2 linked regions of the Ovis aries genome follow. The protein of the gene in region 1 interacts with the protein of each later gene in a pairwise test. Links are inferred from orthologs where the notes say so. Each region holds a gene or a part of one and is shown in the gene's direction. Other genes may lie near its edges. The genes, in order: FEZ2 and SCOC.

Region 1 (3,824 bases):
TATGATCGGATGAAGGCAGTTCCTATCTTGATTGGAGTATTCTAGAAGTCTTTCAGTTAATCCGGCCTTGTGTCCTTTCAGCCACAAATGTTCTGGCCTTGGTGAAGATAGAGGACTGTGACTTGTCCTTCATTTTCTTGGGAGATCAAATTCACCCACAGTCAATTATTCTACATAAAATCTTCCGCTCCACTTGTCCTTTTATTACGGCCTCAATTAAGAAGGAACAAACAGCAGACAAAACGAACCTCAAAATCTCTGGACTGTCTTCACCTACTAGAATATCCTAGTGGTTCCTGACCAGGGTTAGGTGTATGGTCAGTCATTTAGTATTGGAAGATCTTCTACCCAGGAAGAGGTGGGCCAGCAAGTTTAGCAACCCAGAGTATTTCCAATTTGAGCATATTGACATTAGAGGAAATGAGGATTCCAGCAGAGAGGAGGATAGGAATGAACCATGCATATGAGAGATTTGCTGGGTAAATGAGCCAGTTTTCTCGAGCTTTTTGTGTTCACATGTTCATGGAGGCTAATATGCATTCAACAGCCAAGTGTCATTTGGGGATTGTCTGTTTTTGGCAGTTGTGGTCCCATTGCTTCTCTTTTAACCAAATTCCAGTTCATTAAATCAGTGTGTTGTTTCTCTGTTTTGAAGCTTGCATTCTTAGTTTTATAATTCCAGTGGTCTTATTTTTGTATCCTAGTATCTTACACACTTAGGAAAAAACCCACCCAATTTTTTTAGTGGCTTATTCACGATTAGATACTTGTTAAAAATGTTAGCTTTTTTAAATTTATTAATTGTATGTGTGTATCTCTGACCATTAAATAGCTTATTTGTGTAGTGTTTAACTTTACTTAGACTAATTAAATTTAATTTCATTTATATTTCTGAACTCTTTTTTTCATATAATGCCTTTAAAAAAAACGCTGGTTATTACTTTGGGATTGAAACTGAATTTTGGTCATGAAATTGGTTTTCAGTCCTTATTTTGGTATGGTTTGGAACTTTCATCAATATAACTAATTTGAATGAATGCTTCGAGTTAGAGCTGGAAGAAACATCAGCCATCCTTATCCAAGCTTCTTGTTTTAGAAAGAGCAGCTAATGCCTGCAGAAGTTACAGTGCATGATCAGAGGCTGAGGATGAATGGAGATGAGAGTCTGTTTTCTGAATTTAGTCAGGTGCTCTTTTCATTTTACTCTGTTGCCTCCTCAAAATTCTGTTTGTTAATAAGGAAGAGTAATTGCATTGGGTATAATCTGTGTATTTTATTGTGAACTCCCTTTCTTTCCCTTTTCATCTTATCTTAGCCTTACACTATAAATTAGATATTAAGCCCTAGTCTCGTATTGAGGCTGAATTCCTTCTCCTGGAAATTCTTTCTCATTGGTTAAAGAGAGATTATTCACTCTGTGGAATAGTCTATATGTTTGGAAGTTACAAAAGAAAAATAATTATAAAGCACAGTGTATTTACTACCTGTTTTGGCTTGGGAAACACGACATAACTTTCCTGTGCTTTAGTTTCCTAATCTGTAAAATGGGGATGATAATGGTTCTTCATGGTATTCTTTTTGAGGATTAAGTGAGCCAATGTAAGTAAATTGCTTAGAATGTATGTAAACAGTTTAGGTAATACCTGGCTCACAAGACAGTGGAAATGTTAGCCGTTGACTTGGTGAGCTTTCTGTTCCATGTCTTCTTCCCTCAGGACTTGTCAGCCCAGTGGTTGGGCTTTCCTTTAATCTTATTCAGGAGGCTCTGGTTTGTTGATGCTTTTCTGAGAAAGAGTAGGCCTTCTATTTTTTTTTTTTTTGCTGTGATAGTTTTTGTTCTCTCTTTCACTGTAGTACTAGATATCTGTTTAATAATGATAGACAGAATGTTAACTTTCATTGATTGTAGTTTTTTTTTTTTTTTAAGGATTTGGAATGCCCTGACAGATAATTACGGAAATGTAATGCCTGTAGACTGGAAGTCATCCCATACTAGGACCTTGCATTTGCTTACTCTGAATCTCTCAGAAAAAGGGGTAAGTTAGGATTTGCACCAATAGTTTCTGAATAACCGATTCTGATAATGGAACTAAAAAGTAGTGTTTCTCTCTAACCACAATTCATTGAGTTGCTTCTTATTTCCAAGCTTATGGCAAGTGAAGTGGTCTTCTTTTGCCATCTTGGTTTTTGCTACTGTCCACTTGCTGACATTTCCCTCCAGTTCTTCCCTAGCACACACTCACCTTTTTTATGTTTAGGTAAATTTTCATCACCTGTGTATGAACAGCAATGATCAGCATTTTTTTCTAGCTTAAATAACATAACTTTGATACATTGACAATACTCGGTAAGAACCTTAGGCTTTGATTTAATATATGGAGGATTCTGGAGTGTCTACAGAGAGTTAACTTTCTGATGAATTTAATGCTGGATGTAACATGTTTGAATATTGGAGAACCTTTAAAAGACATTTCAAGTCTTGGCTTTTTGATGTGTTCTTGGCTAACCATTGGAGGCTTCTGTGTATGTCTTGTGGAGAAGGCGATGGCACCCCACTCCAGTACTCTTGCCTGGAACATCCCATGGATGGAGGAGCCTGGTGGGCTGCAGTCCATGGGGTCACGAAGAGTCAGGCATAACTGAGCGACTTCACTTTCACTTTTTACTTTCATGCATTGGAGAAGGAAATGGCAACCCACTCCAGTGTTCTTGCCTGGAGAATCCCAGGGCCTGGGGAGCCTGGTGGGGTACCCTCTATGGGGTCACACAGAGTTGGACACGACTGAAGTGACTTAGCAGCAGCAGCAGCATGTATGTCTTGGAATTGTAAAGTGGAGACACCTTGGGTAAGGAGTGTGAGCACAGGTGGAAGGATAGCAAAGGGGACAGAAAAGGGAAGGGAATTGCTTTAAGTGGAAAATCACAGTGTGGTTTAACGCTGACGAAAAAGGAGGCCAAATGGAAGTTTCAGGGCCGGACTATTTAAATTCTTCATCAAATAGCAGTGTTAACTCATGCCAGCTCTTTTGGCATGCTCTATATTTCATTAAGTGTATTTGTGTAATTTCGGAGAGTATAATGCAGTAGGATTGTATTTTAAATAGTGCTATTAATGTTTTCTGAAACGATGTTCTTAAAAGTGTGATTCAGAAAAGCTTGCCGCCTAGAAATCCTATATTTCTAGTAAAATATAGGATTCTGACTATATTTCTTTGTATTCTAGTACATACAGGATTTATTTGTTCCAGTTATTAATCTCCTTAAGCTGTTTTGCAGGCTGACCTGACATACATTTAGGGGCAGGAATAAAGCAAAATATCTTATCCTCTGTCTTCTGTTTATTTGGATCTTAGCTATCATTCTGGGCTTAGTTCAAGTTTCCCTTCCTCTCTGAAGCTCCCTATTACTGTTTTAGCCTTTGCTGATCTCATGGAATTATATAATTTTAGAGTTGGAAGGGACTTTAAAGGACACTTAATCCAACCTCTCACTTGGGGGGAATCCCTGTTTACAGCATCTCTGACAGATGGTCATTCAGCCACAGACTAAATCCCAGCAAGGAAGGAAAATGCTCTCCTCTCTGTGGGAATCGGTCACACTTGTCAGGGTGTGAAAATCGTAAAGGACTTACATGTCCCACAGAGTTTGGCCCCCAAGTCTCTTGGGTGCTGGTCCTCACGGCACTTGATCTGTGTCTTAAATCATCATTAGTGTTTCTTAATTATGTTTGTGGATCTGTCTAGATTGTAACTTCCTGGTAGATATCTTCATATGTGTCTTCTGAGTAGCTATTACAGTGCCTGGCACATAGTGAGAACTAAGAC
Region 2 (4,269 bases), on another chromosome or scaffold:
AGAGTCTAGAGAAAAATAAGCATCAAGACTGCATAGACTCATTCCTTACTATTTTCATTTTTGTTGATAAGTTCAAATCTTGATTCCATGGAGACCCTAAAATTCTGAACTTTCATTTGAAAAACACTAAAAACACACTGGTAATTTCTTACATTTTTCTCTATTAAACAACTGAATGAAATGATTCTCTTCAAATTAGCCAACTATCAGTTATTATTAGGAAATTATAATCTTCAGAAAAGTATATGAAAACAATTTACCAAATAGCAGTATAGCATACTATTAAGTCTAGTCTTGAAATCAAGTTTCAACAAGCAGAATATTTTCTTTACTCACCAAATTCAGTTCAACACTCATTCTCCAATGAATTTAATAACCTTACAACGGAAAAAAATAAGTATAAAGGAAAATGTGAGTTCTTTTTTAGGAATGAGATCAAACACATTTTGCAAATTAATGAGTGTAAAGTATGAGGAACACACCTGGTTACACTTGAAAGTTATCAAAATGTTCCATTTAGCATATTTCACTTTAAAATATCCACAGTATGTTTAGAACCCTCTAATTACTAAAAACAAGTTCAAAGTTTTTATGAGCTTGATGAGAGTATGTCAGACTAGAACATCAAAATGAACTTGGAAGTTTCTCTATTTTATTATTTATCATTTCTTCCTTACACAATACTTTGCCTTGTAATAATAAATGATAGTTTCCAATTTAGAGTTCCCCATTCTCTATGAAGAATATTTTAATTTATGCTTTTACTTATGTAGTTTATAATACATGCACATTCCAGATCACATGAATGGTCATCTTATGATCAGTTATTTCTGTGCAATTTCAGTGGTCCCTATTGAATGTTTTCCTTATTCAGAAGAGAATTTTGTGGCTATTTTTAAACAATTTTTTAACTGAAAAATGTAATGCAAAGGAAACAATACAACAAAAGTTCACTTCATATAAAGTTTGCCAAGGTTTCTATACCCTTTTTATATTCACTTGGATGTACTGTTCCTTTTGGTCACTTTTTGCCATTTCAAGATTCTTTTCCTGTTCTTTCAAGGACACATCTTAATTATCAGCAACATTGTTTTAGCCAGTTTGCAATCTTTTGTGAATGACATGTTGCTTGTGACGACATTATGGTTACCTTTTTGTATGCTATCTTCTTCAGATAATTTGTCTGAAGATTTCCTCTAAGTTCAAATTCTCTAGCAAGATACATGTTTGATACTGAAATTTTTAAAAAGGTGAATGCTCTAGAATTACCATATCCTACTTATTGGTAATCATTTTCCTTCATTTTAAAAATAGTTTTATCTTCCAAGGGTGTATCCAAAATAAACCATAGGGGCTTTTTTTTTTTTTGGTCTGTTTTTTAAAATGTAGTTTAAGTGTCTTCTTATCTACAAGTCTTCTCTCCATTCTTTTTTCTTCCAATGCAATTTATTTGTTAAACAAAAGGACTTTTATTTTCATGTTATTTGTTCTTGACTTGTTGCTGTTTTGTTCCACTATCAGATTTCGATGTTTACCCAGACAGTAGATTTAACACATTTCTCTGTTCTCTGTATTTCCTGTTAAATTGCTAGGTATGGGCTTGATCAGGTCAGGTTGCATTAAAAAAAATTTTTTTGTGAGACTATTTCATTGGTGATGCAGTCTTCTTCACCACGAAAGTAAATGTTATCTGGCAGGTTCTCTGTGTATTGTTAATGATACTGGTGCCCAGTGACAAGATCAGTGTTTCTCAACAGTCTTTTTCACTGTGCCTCACCCCCAAAGCCTTTTAGACATTATTTTCCTAGTCATCCCTTCCTCCTGGGAAACTGTCTTTTGCCAAACTTGTAAAGCCAATATGTCTTCAACTATTTTTCAGTACCACATTCTTTTTCCTTTCCTTCTATGATTCTGATGACACAAATGCCAGGTCTTTTTTGTCATCCTTGTGTTCTGAGTTTGTTATTTTTTTTTCAACCATTTTTCTCCCTGTTTGAAGGCTGGATAATTTCTACTGAGGTACCCTCCAGTTCATTCTTCTCTCCTTCATGTCCATCCTGCCACTGGATCTTTGGAGATAGTTTTAAATTTCAGTTATTTTATTTTTCAGTTATACAGTTTCCATTTGGGTCTTATTTATAGCTTTTATTATGTTGCTTATACTTTAGATTATAACTTTTGTTTCAGGAGTTTTCATAATTGTTCAAGTATTTTCAAATAGCTGCCTAAAATCTTTTCAAGACAACTTCAACATTTGTGCCATCTCAGAGTTGCTGTGTTATTTTCACATAAAGTGAGATTTTCATGGTTCTTCATAAGCTGAATAACTGCAGACTGGATCTTGGACATTTTGTCTATAACATTATGAGACCTTGGGTCTTGTTTAAGTACCAAGGAGAATGCTGATATTTTTGTTTTGGTAGGAATTTGAGTTGGTTAGGTTGAAGATGTAAGTTCCAAACCACATCCTTTGGGCTGTGGTTCCAATGTCAGTTCAATTTGGAAAGTCTTGGCAGTGCTTTATTTTTACTTAGTTCTAGCAATCTTAATAATTCAATAGAGTACGTATTATGATACTCTTTTTCCAGGTAAAAAGATAGGTTTTAATTCAGTCTATTACTAGCTGTGTGATATTGGACAAGACACTCTTTGACTTTGATTTCCTCGTCTGTAAAATGGGGTTGGTAATCCCTAGATCACTGGATTGACGACTGAGTAAAATATCACATGTAGCATACCAAGCATACTGCAAACCTTAAAGAAACCTGGCTAGTATTCTCATTAAAGAAAGAAATCAGCTTTGGTGAGGAAAAGTAATATATAATCAAATATATACATTTTAAATTACAGAAGATACCTTTTGGGAATTGTATACACTGTGTAACCACCATCCCAATCAAGATATTATAGAACATTTCCATTACAGCAGAAAGCTCCCACCAGCCCCTTCTCAGTCAACCCTCTACCCATTATCAACCCGAGGCAACCACTGATCTGTTCTACACAGCAAAGTTTTGTCTCTTCTAGACTCTATAGTAACAAAATCATGCAGTCTATATGTTTTCCACCAGGCTATTCTCACTCAGCACAATATAGTTCAGGTTCATCCATATTAACAGTTTGTTCCTTTTTATTCCATTGGGCTACCCTAGTGGCTCAGTGGTAAAGAATCTGCCTGCAATGCAGCTTCCCAGGTGGCTCAGATGGTAAAGAATCTTCTTGCAATGCAAGAGACCCAGGTTTGATCCCTGGGTTGGGAAGATCCCCTGAGAAGGGAATGGCAACCCATTCCTGTATTCTTGCCTGGAGAATTCCATGGATAAAGGAGCCTGGTGGGCTACAGTCCATGGGGTTACAAAGCGTCGGACACAACTGAGCAACTAACACACACATGCAAGTATTTCATTATTTCATTGGGAGTTTCTCTATTATTGACTTAAAAGGTTCTTAGAAATTCCAAATTCAAGACCTTTGTTAGATAATGTATTGTTATTGTCTTTTCATTTCCTAAATGATACCTTTCAAAGAACATGGAGTTTTAATTCTTATAAAGTTCAATTAATCTTTTCTATTTTATTATTGTTTTTGTGACCTTTCTCAAAAAATTTGCTGACACCTAGGAGACAAAGATTTTCTTCTCTGTCTTCTAGAAGTTATTTATCTCTGTTTCTGTCTATGATCCATTTTGAATTTACAGTTTTGTGTACGATGTAAGTAGGGGTTGAGATTCTCTTTCTTTGTTCTTTCAGAACTGTTTTGGCTATTGTAGATTCTTTGTATTTCCATATGAATTTTAGAATCAGCTTTAGAACATGATTACGGAGAGAAATGAAACTCATGGAGCCAGCATCACAATTGCCCAGGCTCCCTGTCTAGGGACAACTGATGGATTTGATTTTCTAGTAATATGTTGAGGACTTCATGTCTATGTTCAGTTTTATATTTTTTAACGTCTTCATCTACTTTTGATATCAGAGTTATGCTGTTCTCATAAAATGAGTTAGGAAGTGTTCTTTCTTATTTTATTTTCTGGAAGAGTTTATGAAGAATTGATGAAATTTCTGAAAATAACTAGAAGAATTTACCAGTGACATCATCTGAATATATAGTATCTTTTGTGGGAAGATTAACCTGGTAATTACATTTCAAAATACAGATAAATTTTAAAATATAGACAGAGAACTATTCATATCTTCTGTTCTTGTTGAGTGAGCTTTTTTTTTTCTTTCAGGGATTTGTCCATTTTATCTAAATTATCAAACTTATTGG

The links.
Region 2: the proteins of FEZ2 (region 1) and SCOC interact in binary tests that used the Homo sapiens proteins (3 or more experiments, as listed by UniProt). The link is inferred for Ovis aries from reciprocal best matches to the Homo sapiens genes FEZ2 and SCOC.

The regions. Positions count from the first base shown.
Region 1 is NC_056056.1:87,440,638-87,444,461, forward strand, and holds part of FEZ2 (fasciculation and elongation protein zeta-2), read left to right. Parts: intron 1-1,927; coding exon 1,928-2,036; intron 2,037-3,824. UniProt on the Homo sapiens protein: Involved in axonal outgrowth and fasciculation.
Region 2 is NC_056070.1:17,420,734-17,425,002, reverse strand, and holds the start of SCOC (short coiled-coil protein), read left to right. Parts: upstream 1-1,360; 5' UTR 1,361-4,269. UniProt on the Homo sapiens protein: Positive regulator of amino acid starvation-induced autophagy.